2 linked regions of the Cricetulus griseus genome follow. The protein of the gene in region 2 interacts with the protein of the main gene of each other region in a pairwise test. Links are inferred from orthologs where the notes say so. Each region holds a gene or a part of one and is shown on either strand. Other genes may lie near its edges.

Region 1 (3,099 bases), on a different chromosome or scaffold from region 2:
TACAAAATCAGAGACAATTGCTTTCTTGCCTGGGCCTTCCCTATACCTGTACTCAAGATGAGAAGGTTGTGGGCTCAGTGATAATGGTGGATTGACGAGTCTGTCTGCCCATGTATGCACACTCCTTCCCTCAACCAGAGATCTTTCAGTGCAAGCCTTTGATATGGGAAAGCAAAACATTCACTCCAGAGCTTTAGGCAACTCTCTCCAGCCAAAACCCATTATCCTAACCCCTACCTAAAAAGGCCAGACAGCCTGGAGACCCTTGTTTTTGTGTCTCTAATCACCAGCTCAGACAGTGCCCTCTGGGCTGTTTGGATGGCACATCCCTATCCCTCCCAGGATCACTCTCTCTTTTGTTGCATTGTGAGAAAATTATGGCTAGGAATTTGATCTGGAGCCAGTGTCAGCTTCCGGGGGTGATCTCAGCATCCAAGTGTGAGCTTAGGATGCTGAGACGATGGGCACATTTCACAGTGGAAATTGCTCCCTGTGACCTTCCAATCCGTTCGCGGTTCGGTCTTCCAGGCCACAGAACAGGAGCAGCACAAACAAGGCCCCGAGGATTGGGTTTATTCAGCTCCACCCAGAACTAAATCAAAGGCTAGGATACATCAAGGGACCAAACCATACACTGTGGACCAGGCATCTATCCTTTCCCCCCCTGAGGACGCTGCTACCTCTGGGGTGGTGGACTTCTGGAATCACCGTGGGATGTAGACAGGGGATTCACTGGGTGCTGGGTCTACCGCGGGCAGTCAGGACTCAACTCTGGCTACCTCTTCCTCTTCCTCTGGGTCAGGAGGCGCAGGGAGCAGGGAGATGTAGACCTCATTGACTTCCGTGTCCAAATGCCGGCCACCCCGAGGCGCCTCTAAGTTAAGGATACCATCATGGGAGAGGGCAGCTCGGACCCGCCAGGGGTCTACATCTGCTGGCAGGACATAGGTGCGACAGAACTCTCGGGACACGAAGCCATGGCGGTCCAGACGCTGGGGGTGCCGGGCCGACACCTCCAGCAGGTTGTCCACAGTTCTCACGGTCACCTCGTCTGGGGTAAAGTGGCTCACATCCAGAAATGCCTGGAACTTGCCTTCGCTGAGCCTGAGCTCTGAAGCCCCTGCCCTACTGCCCTCCCCAGCTCTGGAGGCCCGAGGCCGGACATAGTAGCCATGGTAGAGGGTGGGGGTCAGGATCTCTTCTGGCAGGAGGCCTGGGTGGGCAGAGAGAAAGAGAAGGCAAGAGGCAGGATGAAGGATGAATGCAGTGTGCACAGGGCTGAAAGGCAACATCAGGAGACATGGGCCTGGGAAGAGCAGGTGGGGAAGCTGCTGAAGGGGAGCTGGGAAAGGAAATGAAATGGCAATGGAGGAAGCAAGCAGGGATTGGGAAGACAGAAGCGGAACTAGAAGGTATTCAGCAGGCAAGGACTGGAGCCCTGCGGGTCTAAAGTCCTGTCCTAAAGTCTGTAGCAAGAACAGAGCCTTGCTTGAGGCGGGAGTCAGGGGTGGGAGATGGCTCACCCCAGGAGTTCACTTAAGCCCCAGGTAGGGAGGAGGCCAGTGAAACTGGGCCAGGAGCCCAGAATTTCAGGAGGTGGGGGTGGGCAGCATCTAGGCCATACCTTCTCCGAAGCGCTGCTCACCCAGGCGGCTGGGGTTGGCAAATTCATACTCTGCCGTGGCTGGGTGGGCATGTGGCACTGTGCGGCCCGACATGACTCTGGTTGCGACTGGCAGCCCTGATCCCAAGCGCAGCCCCAACAAGATCGACGCGACCCCTTCAGCTGGAGGGAGAGCCAGGACTCAGTCAGAGTGGGGGCGGGGTCTACACCACCCAAAATAGTGCAAAGCCTCTGGGGGAGGGCCTGGAGCCTGGGCCCAAGAGTGTGGCGATGAGGGTGTGACCAGCACAGCCTGGACCCCCCAAGTCCCCTCCTCTGCACACTCTTCAGCTGTCGCAGAAGCCTGGATGGACAGCTGAGGGTCCTGGTACTGGAGCGAGTTGAGAAAAGGAATTGGTGCACTGTTGGAGAACAAAGGAAGGTCTTCTCAAATTGTACATTTCCGTATCACTGTCCGTTTGTCTTCTCAAATTGTACAGTTTTACATCACCGTTTGTCCTTCTCAACCGTAGGCACCATGCACACTACTTTAAAAAAAATTAAATGTTTCATGAGCTATATAGCATCAAAGATGCAAGAAGCATTTTCTATCTCTAATTTCAGGGTATTCTGAACCCAGGTCAACACAGGGTTCTAGCCAGATATCTGGTACTGACATATTGGTGGTCAAGGGCTGCTCTCCTCAAGGGCACCACAAAGAGTTAATGTCCCTGGGGCCCAGCCTAGGAAGATTCCAGTCCCTGCCCAGGCTCAAGATAGTTGCTGGCTCAACTCCCCTGGCATGCAAGACTGGAGAGGAGGAGGGGCATGCCACCAGCTGCTTGGGATTCTTGACTCTGTCCTAGCTCCAGAGAACAAGGATGGGGGGTGGGTGCCACTGGGTGTGGACAGAGAGCTAGTGAAACAAGACCATGACAAGTCACTGGCCAGCTCAGCCCTGTTTGTGTTTCTCTTTTCTTAGCTCAGTGAGTACTGGGTATGTGTCACCCTGCCAAATCCCTGATCACAAGTCTCCATGAACTGGCGGTGAGCTGGGATAATAAAACCCCTGACATCACCATTCCAGAAGCTTCACAAGACTGCATATATAAGGGGCTGGCTGTAGCTGCAGCTGAAGGAGTTGACCAGCCAACTGTCCCTAGATTCATCGAGCCACCATGGACATCGCCATCCACCACCCCTGGATCCGTCGTCCCTTCTTCCCTTTCCACTCCCCCAGCCGTCTCTTTGACCAGTTCTTCGGAGAGCACCTGTTGGAGTCTGACCTCTTCTCAACTGCCACTTCTCTGAGCCCCTTCTACCTTCGGCCACCCTCCTTCCTTCGGGCACCCAGCTGGATTGACACTGGACTCTCAGAGGTGAGTCTCCCCTATGTCCTTCCTGAACTTCCCGGACACGTCTTCATTTGTTTTCCTTTTTGCCCCTGCCTAAGTCATGTCAGACATGTGAGTGTGCAAAGGTACAGAGAAATGGGG
Region 2 (4,235 bases):
CTGACTGCACGGGGCTGCATGGCCGAAAGGGGGGCAGCAGAGGGAGGGAAACGAGGGAGAAGCCCGAGCGTAAGATTTGGGTGCTCGGTCAGGTCCCCTCAGAGACTCGTTTAATGTCTTGAGCCTTAGCATCAAAAGCCAGCGGTGTCCAGCACAGGCGGCGAGAGGACTGCACGTGGTTAGCACTGAGTGTGGGACCTGGAGGGGCGGGGGTGGCACAGCCCACCAGCATCCTGGACACTGGAGGCCTGCTCGGCCTCCAAAGGGGGCGGGAGAGCCTTCCTGAGCCAGCAGGCGAGGGCAGCCAGGTCAGGGCTGGCGCCTCGGAGGCAGGGGGCAGAGGGAGGCCAGGCCTCCCTTGGGTTAGCAGTCAGGACTGGGAATAATATGGAATAATATGGAGGTCCTGGAGAAGACAGGGGCTCGAGGAAAGGGCCGCCAGAGAAGACACAGCCAGGGCCAAGGCTGGGGTGGGGGGAGGAGAGAGCCAAAGCATTGAGCCCTTTTAAGGCAGCGGGAACCCAGGCCCCCTCCCCCGCCCGGGCCTGGCAGGGGAGGGGCCCACGGGATGCTGCTCAGGCCACAAAAGGACTGCTCCTTCCTAGAGGGCCAGACCCCCCACCCCCACCCCAGCTCTCAGTTTACCCTGCCCGCCCAGCCCCATCCTCTGCAAAAGGAAGGTTGGAAGAGTCACTGAGGGCTGCAGAGGAGAAAGGTCCCCCCAAAGCCTTAGTGGCCTAGCCCATGGCCTCCACCTTTCCATCTGTGAAATGGGGGAAGAGGGGACAGTGAGCAGGACATACAGGCCGAGGACCAAGGACCAAGAATGGGGGACCCTCAATGACAGGCACAGAGCAACAACACAGTTGTTATTTTTGAGGAAGCTGGGGTTAGCCCAAGCTTTGGCTGCATGTGGGCCCGGGGCAGGTAAGGTCCAGGCCCACCCACTAGGCCTCAGAAGACCTTTGGAGAAGGGCATTGAAGTCAGCAGGGGAGCTAGAGGCCTTGAGCTAGGACCATGAAAGCAGGTAGGAAGCCAAATGGGATCCCCAAAGCTGGGCCACACGGTCTAGGAGGGACCAAGATGCTACGGAAGGGCATGCTCAGAAGCTTGTTCCTCCTTAATTTGGGGGGACAGAGGGGTGCTGGGTGGCGCCTGTCTGCCGGCCTCTGTGAGTCACGATGCCCTCACAGCTCCTGGACACCTGTCAGGGCAGCTGGGGAGGCAGACGCCAAACACCTGCCCACGGGCCGCACCCTGGCAGCTGCCCCACGCTGCCCTCCCCACTCAGAGAAACCAGGGAGGGCTGCAAAGCTCCTTTTGGAGGGTGAGGGTCCTAGAAGGGGAAAGCTGCCAGGCCCGTGTGGGTGCTGAGAAGGCAGCAGGCTGTGCCCACCCCAGCCTGCACTGGCTGAGTCATGGCTGGCCTCCACTGACCCCAGTCTGCCCCACCAGGGGAGCTTGGGATCAAGGCCTCAACTCTGCTGGGGTCCCCACAGACCTCTCCAGGCCCTCCTGCTCCTCCACAGCCAATCCCTGCCCTGTAGAGCCACCTCGGCCTTCCCCCCACCCCAGGCCTCCTGGCCATACTCACCCCACTGCAAGAAGTCGGCTACATACTTGTCTTGGGCTAGGTGGGAGGCACCCAGCTCCTGGTGGACGCCCAGGAGAAGGTCGAGCAGGGGCTCCAGCCCCAGGAAGCCGGGGTCCAGCACCAGCTGCTGGAGCTGCCTCAGCCGCACCTCGGCTGACATGTTGGGCAGGCAGCACCATGGCCCCTCCCCGGGCCGGAGCTCGGGGGTCTTCCTGTCACGGGGCCTGAATGCCCCTGTCCAGGCCCCAGAACCCTGGCTGCATGTCTGCCTGTCCCTGACTATCCCTTGGGTCCCTCTGGCCAGTTCTATGGCTGAGGCCTCCTCCTCTTTTCCCCACCCCTTGGCCCAGCCCCCCTCCCGCCTCCCAGCTTTAACCCCTCCTGAGCCAACACCCCAACTCTCTTCTTTCAGGGCCCCCCAAAACTCTTCAATGCCCAATGTCAAGGGGCAGAGTAGTACTCCAGAGACACCCGAAGCCCCTACCCATAAGAGGGTGGGGCACAGGGAGTTACAGGTGAGGTCAGTGTTCAGACAAGCCAGTCTAAGCTCAGAGCTGGGAGGGGTGGGGAAAGGGGCCGATGCCTGGGCTGGGGGGGGGGGCAGAGGCCAGGGGCAGCGTCTTCGTGACTCAGCAATGGATTCCGACTTTGGGACAGTTAAATTTAGTCCCTGTGCCTGCTGTATTACACGCCCCCCCTTTTTTGGCAGGAGGTGGAAGGGAGATCAGGAGGGAACTTATCCAGCCGCCAGGGCCAGGGGTGACCTGCTGGCCCAAGCCTGGGGGAGGCAAGCGGTGGAGCCAGGCCCTCCCCAAGTGAGAGAGACCCCGAAATAGCTTCTTGGCCACAGGCCGGAGCAGCCACATTCCTGCCTGGGCTAGGATTAGAGACAGAAACATTTTGGGGGTTGGGGGCGGAGCCACCTGGACAGCCAGCCAGGAGACATGTTAGCGTCTTTCTAGGGTGGCCAGTTCTCTGGGGAGGAAATCACGGCCTCCAGCTGGCACTGCATGGGCCAGGGGCACCAGGGTGCAAAGCGTGTCAAGAAGAGGAGGTGCGGCTCAATTCCAGGCAGTGTCCACTCCTCCCAGAAGAGCACACTTGGATAGAACTGACACTTCAAAATAAGTTTCAAACACCCCCCACCCCCATCCCAAGGTAGCAAGAAGGGGCCACCTCAGGCTCTTGACTCTGGGGGTCCAGGGGGCTCTGCTCAGGGCTAAGGGTGGGTGCGGGGATTGGCCTTCCTTTGGTGAGAACACAGCCCCCCCCCCCCCCCCCACACACACACACATACACATGCCCCAGGGAACAGAGACGCTGTGCAAACAAGGACTTTAGTATAAATAAAAGGTCCAGGGGGAACAAGGAGGGCCCCGTGGGCCTCCATAATTTAACACTCTTCAAAAGCACAAATCATAGCAAGGGGTGGGGTGTGGGCTTGGAGGGGACACCCCCTGCAGCCCTCTCACCCAGGGGCACAGTGGAGCTGGGCTGCTGTGGGCGGAGTCTCCCAGGAGTGACCAGTCACATGCTGGGACAGGGATGTGGGTTAACACTGGTATTTCAGAGGACAGGTCATTGTACTTGGCAGTGGGTGGGGCCAGGGCTGAGGCCACACAGGCCGCTCCATCCCCATGGCTGGGCCAGTCTGTGCAGGGTGGGGGCTTGCAGAGCCCTTCATCACGATTAGTCTTGTTACTACAGTGGTCCTTGAGGTCTGCAGGGGGGTTATGGCTAGGAGGCTGGGACATGGGACATCCGAGCTTCACACCACAGTGCCACTGGGGGAGTTGCCTGGTTGGGAGGAGATACCCTGAGGAGGATGAGAGGGAGGTCGGATTAGACAACACCTGGGCTTCTGCCAGTGCTGGGGTGGGGAGGGGCACCCGAAGGCTTCTGGACCCCCAGTCCCACAGCTGTCGTCCCGGCGAGGTCCCTGCCCCAGGATGGCACTTTGACAGTAATGAATGGCCCCAGGTGATCCCGGGCAGGCAGATGGGGATGGTTGAGAGGAAAGAGAATCTGGGGTCCACTTGCAGCTTGGAGGTTGGTCCTACCTCTACCACTGACTTGCTGGGTGACCTGGGCCAACTTGCTTCCCCTGTCTGGGCCTCGTTCTCCTCGTCTGTAAACTAGGGAGACAGAGGGGCATCTTTTAGAGCTCACACATCCCAAGCCCTACCACCCTGCCTTTGCTCTGAGCTCTAAGGCTTCTTTCTGGACTCAAACCTTCCACAGCAAGGATCCCGGACGCAGAGCCCACATGCTAAAGAAAAAGACAGCCCAGCCCTGTCCTGACCAGTGCCAGGCCTTCAGCTCACTGACTAAGACCACAGCCACCACACAGCCCATCTGCAAAGCACAGTGACCAGGACCACACACCAAGCAGAAATGTGGGCCTGGGCCTGGGCCCTGGCGATTCCCATCCGGGCCTTTAGCAGCTGGCTCAGAAATGGAGTGTCTAAGAGGCAGCCAGAAGCCAGGCCCTCGGCTCAATCTTATCCCTGGACTGTCAGCCCCAAAACAAAGCTCACCAATTAAAATGCGTATTTCCCATGAAAACAGGTCTGCCTTGAGTGTGAAGTGCTCAGGGTGGGCCACACAGGTCACCAGAGGCCCTTTGGATGGTTGGCTGTG

The links.
Region 1: the proteins of myotonin-protein kinase (region 2) and Hspb2 interact in a two-hybrid assay, tested with the Homo sapiens proteins (2 studies listed by BioGRID). The link is inferred for Cricetulus griseus from reciprocal best matches to the Homo sapiens genes DMPK and HSPB2.

The regions. Positions count from the first base shown.
Region 1 is NC_048597.1:162,524,294-162,527,392, forward strand, and holds Hspb2 (heat shock protein beta-2), read right to left. Parts: upstream 1,719-3,099; coding exon 1,625-1,718; intron 1,214-1,624; coding exon 759-1,213; 3' UTR 611-758; downstream 1-610. Other genes in the region: Cryab (alpha-crystallin B chain), read left to right, coding at 2,782-2,982. UniProt on the Homo sapiens protein: May regulate the kinase DMPK.
Region 2 is NC_048602.1:28,280,850-28,285,084, forward strand, and holds the start of myotonin-protein kinase, read right to left. Parts: upstream 2,878-4,235; 5' UTR 1,756-2,877; coding exon 1,596-1,755; intron 1-1,595. Other genes in the region: dystrophia myotonica WD repeat-containing protein, read right to left, coding at 3,364-3,411, 3,656-3,730. UniProt on the Homo sapiens protein: Non-receptor serine/threonine protein kinase which is necessary for the maintenance of skeletal muscle structure and function.